2 linked regions of the Xenopus tropicalis genome follow. The protein of the gene in region 2 interacts with the protein of the main gene of each other region in a pairwise test. Links are inferred from orthologs where the notes say so. Each region holds a gene or a part of one and is shown on either strand. Other genes may lie near its edges. The genes, in order: rab2a and fam114a1.

What was found.
Region 1: the proteins of fam114a1 (region 2) and rab2a interact in binary tests that used the Homo sapiens proteins (3 or more experiments, as listed by UniProt). The two-hybrid records come from large-scale screens. The link is inferred for Xenopus tropicalis from reciprocal best matches to the Homo sapiens genes FAM114A1 and RAB2A.

Annotation. Positions count from the first base shown.
Region 1 is NC_030682.2:116,955,834-116,959,662, reverse strand, and holds part of rab2a (ras-related protein Rab-2A), read right to left. Parts: intron 1,484-3,829; coding exon 1,412-1,483; intron 494-1,411; coding exon 426-493; intron 1-425.
Region 2 is NC_030677.2:35,822,692-35,826,520, reverse strand, and holds part of fam114a1 (protein NOXP20), read right to left. Parts: intron 3,688-3,829; coding exon 3,602-3,687; intron 2,882-3,601; coding exon 2,735-2,881; intron 1,923-2,734; coding exon 1,783-1,922; intron 1,039-1,782; coding exon 966-1,038; intron 700-965; coding exon 646-699; intron 1-645. UniProt on the Homo sapiens protein: May play a role in neuronal cell development.

The sequences.
Region 1 (3,829 bases), on a different chromosome or scaffold from region 2:
TTTGAGGCCACTGGGGCAACATTGAAGGAGTTGCTCACGAGCCACTGGTAGAGGATCACTGTTCTAGAGGGTGTTTTAGGACTGAAAAGTGTCAATACTGGGGCAGCCAGACATTTCCAATTTAAGTCAATAGAGATAAGCAGGGGTTGCATTCCCTTTTAAGGGTAATTTCACTCCGCTGGCCTCTGCTCATTTGTGTCTCTGCAGTCACAAGTACTGTGTCATCCTGGGACCAGACATAGAGAGCAGGTTTGTCTGCACCCAGGCCAATGCACAAACACACAAATGATCGAAGGACAGTAGAATGGCTTATTCTTACCCGAGAATCAGCCCTATATCAACTTACAAGATCGTTGACAGAATATGTGGTACAACAAAAGAGGCAGAGGAAACAGACAATATATTGTTTTGTCTTTATTACTTACAGTGTCCCATATTTGAAGCTTTATCTGCTTGCCATCGATTGTAATCATTCTTGCACCAAATTCTACACCTACAAAATAATTATGATATGCAAAATTAAGAGATCCTGATTGTAAAGTTCATACAGTGTGTTACATTTTAAAAACAAAATAGAAGCATTAATTCACAATAGTAAGCTCTCATAATATTACTGCTTTCTACATTATATTAGGGATGCACAGAATCCACTTTTTTGGGTTCGGCCGAACCCCCAAATCCACCGTAAAGGATTTGGCCAAATACCGAACCAAATCCGAATTAGCATGCTAATTAGGCTTTGAAAGGGTTAAATGCCACGTGTGGTGAAAAATTTTCAACTTCTGTGTTTACATGACAAAAAGTCACATGATATTTAGGATTTGGATCTGCCGGAGCGTGGATTTGTCAGAATCCGAATCTTGATGAAAAAGGCCGAATCACGAACCAAAACCTGGATTAGGTGCATCTCTACAATATATACAGAAGTGAAAATTGCCTAATCAAATTTAAGTTGTAGCTAGTGAAATGTTTATTAATTATATAAAGTGCAAATAAAAATTCATTGTGTTCAAGTTTAACCACTACTATCCGAATGCTTGAAAGAACAGTAAAGTCATTGGGGGGGGGGGGGGGGGCTGAGTTGTTAAGAACCCCCTGTAATTCTAGCCAATTACTTGATACCCTAGCATTGCACTACTTTCCTCTAATATATGCACCAGTCCGTGGTACTGTCTTCATTTTTACAGGTGTCCCCTGCACCAATTTTAAGAGGGTGCATGTGCAGTGCAAAAGCTTTTAAGTATGGAAAAAAATGGTGGCACATAGCTCAGCAATCAGGCCCTTATGCTATTGTATTTTTTTAAGAAGAGGAGTATCAGCTCAAAGTACCAGGTAAGCAATAAGAATTACTGAAGGGTGTCTAACAAAAGAGCTGTTAATCAAAAGTTGACACTTTTCAGCGTAAACTTACCAATTGTAAGGTCATGCACAGGTTGAAACCTTTTATCTGTAAACTGCAATAAGAGACATGATTTTCCAACACCTGCAAAACAAGAGGAGAAAAAAAGTAAAGTGCCTAAAAATTATAAAATGAGAATACATTAAACAGTGGTTTAGGTGGTCCAGTCTAAAGGCAAGCAGAGGCGAGATTTGTGAAGAATGACCATTTGTTACCCTATATACTGCTGAAGTCATTCAGCAGCTCTCCAATTTGGCGTTTCAGCAGCTATCTGGTTGCTAGGGTCCAGGGGTGGTTTAAATGAGAGACTGGTAAATGAATAGGGGAGGGACCTGCATAAAAAATCAGTAATAAAAAGTAACAATAACAATAAAACTGGAGCCTCAGAGCATTAGGTTTTGGCTTCCAGGGTCAGTGACCCCCATTTGAAAGCTGCAAAGAATTGAAAGAAGAAGGCAAATAATTAAACTCAATTAAAAAAAAAAAAAAATGAAGGCCAATTGAAAAGTTGCTTAGAATTGGCCATTCTATAACATACTAAAAGTTAACTTAAAGGGGAACCACCCCTTTAAGACAAACAGGTTAAACTCGATGAAATTGTTTCTTTTTTTTTGTTACATTCCAAATGACCATTATGTACAGGTCCTTTTCAAAAAATTAGCATATTGTGATAAAGTTCATTATTTTCTGTAATGTACTGATAAACATTAGACTTTCATATATTTTAGATTCATTACACACAACTGAAGTAGTTCAAGCCTTTTCTTGTTTTAATATTGATGATTGTGGAATACAGCTCATGAAAACCCAAAATTCCTATCTCAAAAAATTAGCATATTTCATCCGCCCAATAAAAAAAAAGTGTTTTTAATACAAAAAAAGTCAACCTTCAAATAATTATGTTCAGTTATGCACTCAATACTTGGTCGGGAATCCTTTTGCAGAAATGACTGCTTCAATGTGGCGTGGCATGGAGGCAATCAGCCTGTGGCACTGCTCAGGTGTTATGGAGGCCCAGGATGCTTCAATAGCGGCCTTAAGCTCATACAGACTGTTGGGTCTTGTGTCTCTCAACTTTCTCTTCACAATATCCCACAGATTCTCTATGGGGTTCAGGTCAGGAGAGTTGGCAGGCCAATTGAGCACAGTAATACCATGGTCAGTAAACCATTTACCAGTGGTTTTGGCACTGTGAGCAGGTGCCAGGTCGTGCTGAAAAATGAAATCTTCATCTCCATAAAGCTTTTCAGCAGATGGAAGCATGAAGTGCTCCAAAATCTCCTGATAGCTAGCTGCATTGACCCTGCCCTTGATAAAACACAGTGGACCAACACCAGCAGCTGACATGGCACCCCAGACCATCACTGACTGTGGGTACTTGACACTGGACTTCAGGCATTTTGGCATTTCCCTCTCCCCAGTCTTCCTCCAGACTCTGGCACCTTGATTTCCGAATGACATACTTTGGACCACTGAGCAACAGTCCAGTGCTGCTTCTCTGTAGCCCAGGTCAGGCGCTTCTGCCGCTGTTTCTGGTTCAAAAGTGGCTTGACCTGGGGAATGCAGCACCTGTAGCCCATTTCCTGCACACGCCTGTACACGGTGGCTCTGGATGTTTCTACTCCAGACTCAGTCCACTGCTTCCGCAGGTCCCCCAAGGTCAGGAATCGGTCCTTCTCCACAATCTTCCTCAGGGCCCAGTCACCTCTTCTCGTTGTGCAGCATTTTCTGCCACACTTTTTCCTTCCCACAGACTTCCCACTGAGGTGCCTTGATACAGCACTCTGGGAACAGCCTATTCGTTCAGAAATTTCTTTCTGTGTCTTACCCTCTTGCTTGAGGGTGTCAATGATGGCCTTCTGGACAGCAGTCAGGTCGGCAGTCTTACCCATGATTGCGGTTTTGAGTAATGAACCAGGCTGGGAGTTTTTAAAAGCCTCAGGAATCTTTTGCAGGTTTTTAGAGTTAATTTGTTGATTCAGATGATTAGGTTAATAGCTCATTTAGAGAACCTTTTCATGATATGCTAATTTTTTGAGATAGGAATTTTGGGTTTTCATGAGCTGTATTCCACAATCATCAATATTAAAACAAGAAAAGGCTTGAACTACTTCAGTTGTGTGTAATGAATCTAAAATATATGAAAGTCTAATGTTTATCAGTACATTACAGAAAATAATGAACTTTATCACAATATGCTAATTTTTTTAAAAGGACCTGTATATGGGACAACATAATGGCTCACAGGCTGACAACACATCCCACAATACTGGAGTCCAGAACTCTGCTATCTGCAAAAACCTTGAATCTTATATGATGAACAATTAGGGTATATTTATCATGCTGTGTAAAAAGTGGAGTGAAGCATTACCGGTGATGTGGCCCAGGGCAACCAATCAGCAATTAGATTTCAACATACAGAAAATCAAA
Region 2 (3,829 bases):
TGCGCTTGGATTCGGGAGTGCAAGAAACTGCCATGCAGCGAATGGCTCAAGTACTGACTGCAGTAGCACAGGATCCAACCCGCAATTAAATCTGGGCTAATTTTGGGTCCCTGCAATAGAGGAGATTTAACGCTGGCGAGTAATCTCCATGTCTGTTAAAGCCCTAAAAAGTAACACAGATCTTCTGTTGTGAGAGAGACAGAAAAGACTTTCATGCCTAGTACAGTAATAACCTAACCTAAATAATATAAGTGATCAATTATAAATATATATAATAAATATATGAATCATAAAGATAAAGAAAATATACTTTGATGCCTAGTACAGCAATAACCTAACCTAAATAATATAAGTGATTAATTATAAATATATATCATAAATATATCAGTTATAAAGATAAAGAAAAGACACTTTCATTCCTAGTACAGCAATAACCTAACCTAAAAAATATAAGTTATAAATACACAACTACTTGCATTCGCCAGCACTGTATTCATTAGGGGCATGAATAGAAGGCACATAGTTGTGCATGAGGTTGCATATTTCAGCACTTATGCTCCCACCTCTTCTGTTTTATCCCCGGTTGCACATTACATACCCCCACAGCTGTAAGGAGAAAGAACAGACATACAGTGGTACTATTACCTCAAGCTGTATACTGTTTACCAGTGGATTCAGGACTTCTGCCTTAGTCTTGCTCTGTAAAATAAGAAAAATTATTGAGGTCTTTAATGCTTATTTACTCATTTACTAAATGAGTGCAAAATATCTGTGCTATTCAGTGCTATTTCAGGTAAAACATTAAAAGGGATCCCTTTATTTACCTACTTGTCAAGATGTTATTTACAGGGTTCCACCGCAATGGAGCATGTCTGTCTAATGCACCAGACTAAGTACAGCCAGAAAACTGCCATATGGAACTAGTATAAATGAGTGCAAACCTTTGCCTTCCAGTTGATACTTACCGCAGCTGAAGTCAGAGAATCAGAAAACTTCCTTGATAAAGAGGACACTTCTTTACACATAGCAATGGTAAGCCTTAAAAACCCAAATAATAAGATGTCAAAATGCAGTCACTGCAGTGTGTTGTTATAACAGGAGTGCAATATTGTGACTTAGGGTAAAACTTACTTGGGGTCTTATACTCTTGAGATGAACTTTTTTTTTATGACTAAAATAGGCATAACGTAACATCTTAGTGGTAACAAGTTCTTAAAGTGGCAGTATACACACTTGTTCTTCAGAATAAATCAATACATAGGCTTGAAATATACATAATTTGCCTAGAAAAATCTGTGGTTTCTGTTATTTCTCAAGGGAAAACAAGGACAGAGAGACTGAAACTCTCCATGTCCTTGTGAGGTAGATAATTAGATTCCCATTATACAATTCTCTCCCTTCACCTTTTGTTGTGACTGCTTAGTTAACAGGAGGTCATTATTATGCAGGGGGATTACCATTGCGCTGGTAATCTAAATCTACCTTCCAAAAACAATTTTAAAATAGTTTAATTTGTGATTTATAAAAAAATATAGTTAGACAGCCTCCTGGCACTATATTTTACACTTCTAATTCACAATATAAATCCCTAGGCAATCCAAAAGTTAATATGCACCCTGGTTTTTCCATGCCAGAACTATTGTACTGTCTATAAGAAATGTAACCATATGAACGTTTCCAATCCTGACTTGGCTGCCTGGGTGAGACACATAAGTGGACATAAAGCATATATCAGCGCAGAGGGGGAAGGCGAATGGAAATTAGGATCCACTGAATGCTTACTTAGTTAAGACAACTGCTTGATCTTTCTCTGGCTTTTCCACTTCTTGTCCATGTAGAATTAACTCTGCTACTTTATGGAGCTGCTCAATGCAGCGGGCAGTGATTTCTGCAAGGCTTTCAATAGAACGCATGTAGAATTCCTGTACAAAAGGAATCAGAGTAATATAGTTATAACTTACCTATGTTGGTGAGGGACTTTCTGAGTTTTTTATTTAACCCACATTGTTAGCCTGTTTTCAATTTTAAAACTTCTTCACTATGTATTACATTATTGTATTTTCTATAACATGCACATTGGAAATGGACAGGAATAACTGAATGGATATGCAAAGAAGTGCGAAGTACTGGGTTAGATCAATGTTTTGTTTAACAGGAGCTAGTAAGTCAGGGATCAAGGGGTAATAAGGGCTCTCATTGCATGTTTGCATCACTCTGTTCTATATGTTAAAATATGTGATATCCTGTTTGCCAGGAACATGTTGCCTCTTTTTCTAAGAAAGCACTAAAACAGCTCCCGCTAGTACACTTAAGGTGGCCATACACGGGCTGATTTCAGCTGCCGCTATTGGTCCTTTAGACCAATGTGGCAGCTTATTTGCTTGTGTATGGGCACCCCCAACAGGCCTACCCGACCTACATCTGGCCTGAAATTGGCCAGATCTCAATCGTGCAGGTTTGATTTTTCTGTCGGTTCAGGGACCACATTAGAGGGGAAAAGCTGCCCCTCAATATTTTCCAGTTTCTTAGCTGATCTGACTGCTGCTTCCCTGTTGGATAAAATCCAGGCATAGTTGTAGTTGGAACAACCTTCTAAGCTTGTTAAAAGACTGCACAGAGAAGCACTGAGTACAATTCAACCATGAATTTACAATATAGCAGCTCATACTGTAGTGTTTAAGATTAAAAGGTGAAGAGAAAGTGTACTGATATTGAATGAACCACTGGAATTCACCTCAATGTTCTGGTTTTCTACTGTTGTTTCTTCTTTGGCCTCCTCACTTGACTCTTTTTCTTCCTCCCGCTCTGATTTAGGATGTGGTGGCTCCTCTTCTGAATGAAAGCTTTGTGAGGACAACCAGTCATGAGCTTTTTTCATAGCCTAAGTAACAGACAAATGCAGGTAAAGGAATGCATGCTTGTACAGTATATTTAGGTAAGGAAACTGGCGTGTACTGTTACATTACATTTGGCTTTATCTTGTTATAGAAATTAGATTAACCTTATGAGGAGTTTGTGGAAGATTAGTAGAAAATTGTGGAACATGTTTCTGGCTTTCAAAACTTTACTATTATTTATTGGTCATCATTTATTATTACAGAAACTAACACTCAGACCAAAGTAAGCTTGCACACATTAATATACCAATACAATGAAGTTTAGAACCTAGCTCCAATGTCCTGTTCTGCTAAATGTAGGTACAGCACACCTATACATTACACCTGCCATCAAGCATCATAAAATAAAGGGCTCCCTTAAATCCCCTAAATATTAACACTCCAAAAATTATGCTCAACTGAGGGGCATGTAAATATATATGATCTTCATCGCAGAAGAAAATGCACATTATTTACAAAACATTGCAACATTTTGCATCAAGGGCACAATTATGAGTTGGCTCGAGTTAGGCACACTGAACTTCTGGAAAAAAACAAGAGCTATTATGTCAGAACTGTGACACATAAACTCCTTATGTTGTTTGTCTATAGTTAAGTGCATTGGTTTTAGCAATTATTCAAAGGTAACCGGGAGATGGTGCTATAAATAAAAGGTTATTATTGAAATGGGGTTGAAGGGGGTGGTACTAAGGTGGAACTCATACCTTATTGAGCTTATCAGGGGTAGCTGCAACATGTAATTCAAAAAGCAGCTCAGTAAGCATGGTGGCAAATTCTCCTGTCTCTTCTTCTGTAAAGAAAAAAAAATACATAAAAGGCCACTAAGTATGTTCTTTTCAGTAAATACTTGCAGTCTTACCAAAATTAGACCTGAATTGATCCAAATATATTAGCATTACAGTGAAACTACATAGTTACAGCAATGTTGCTTT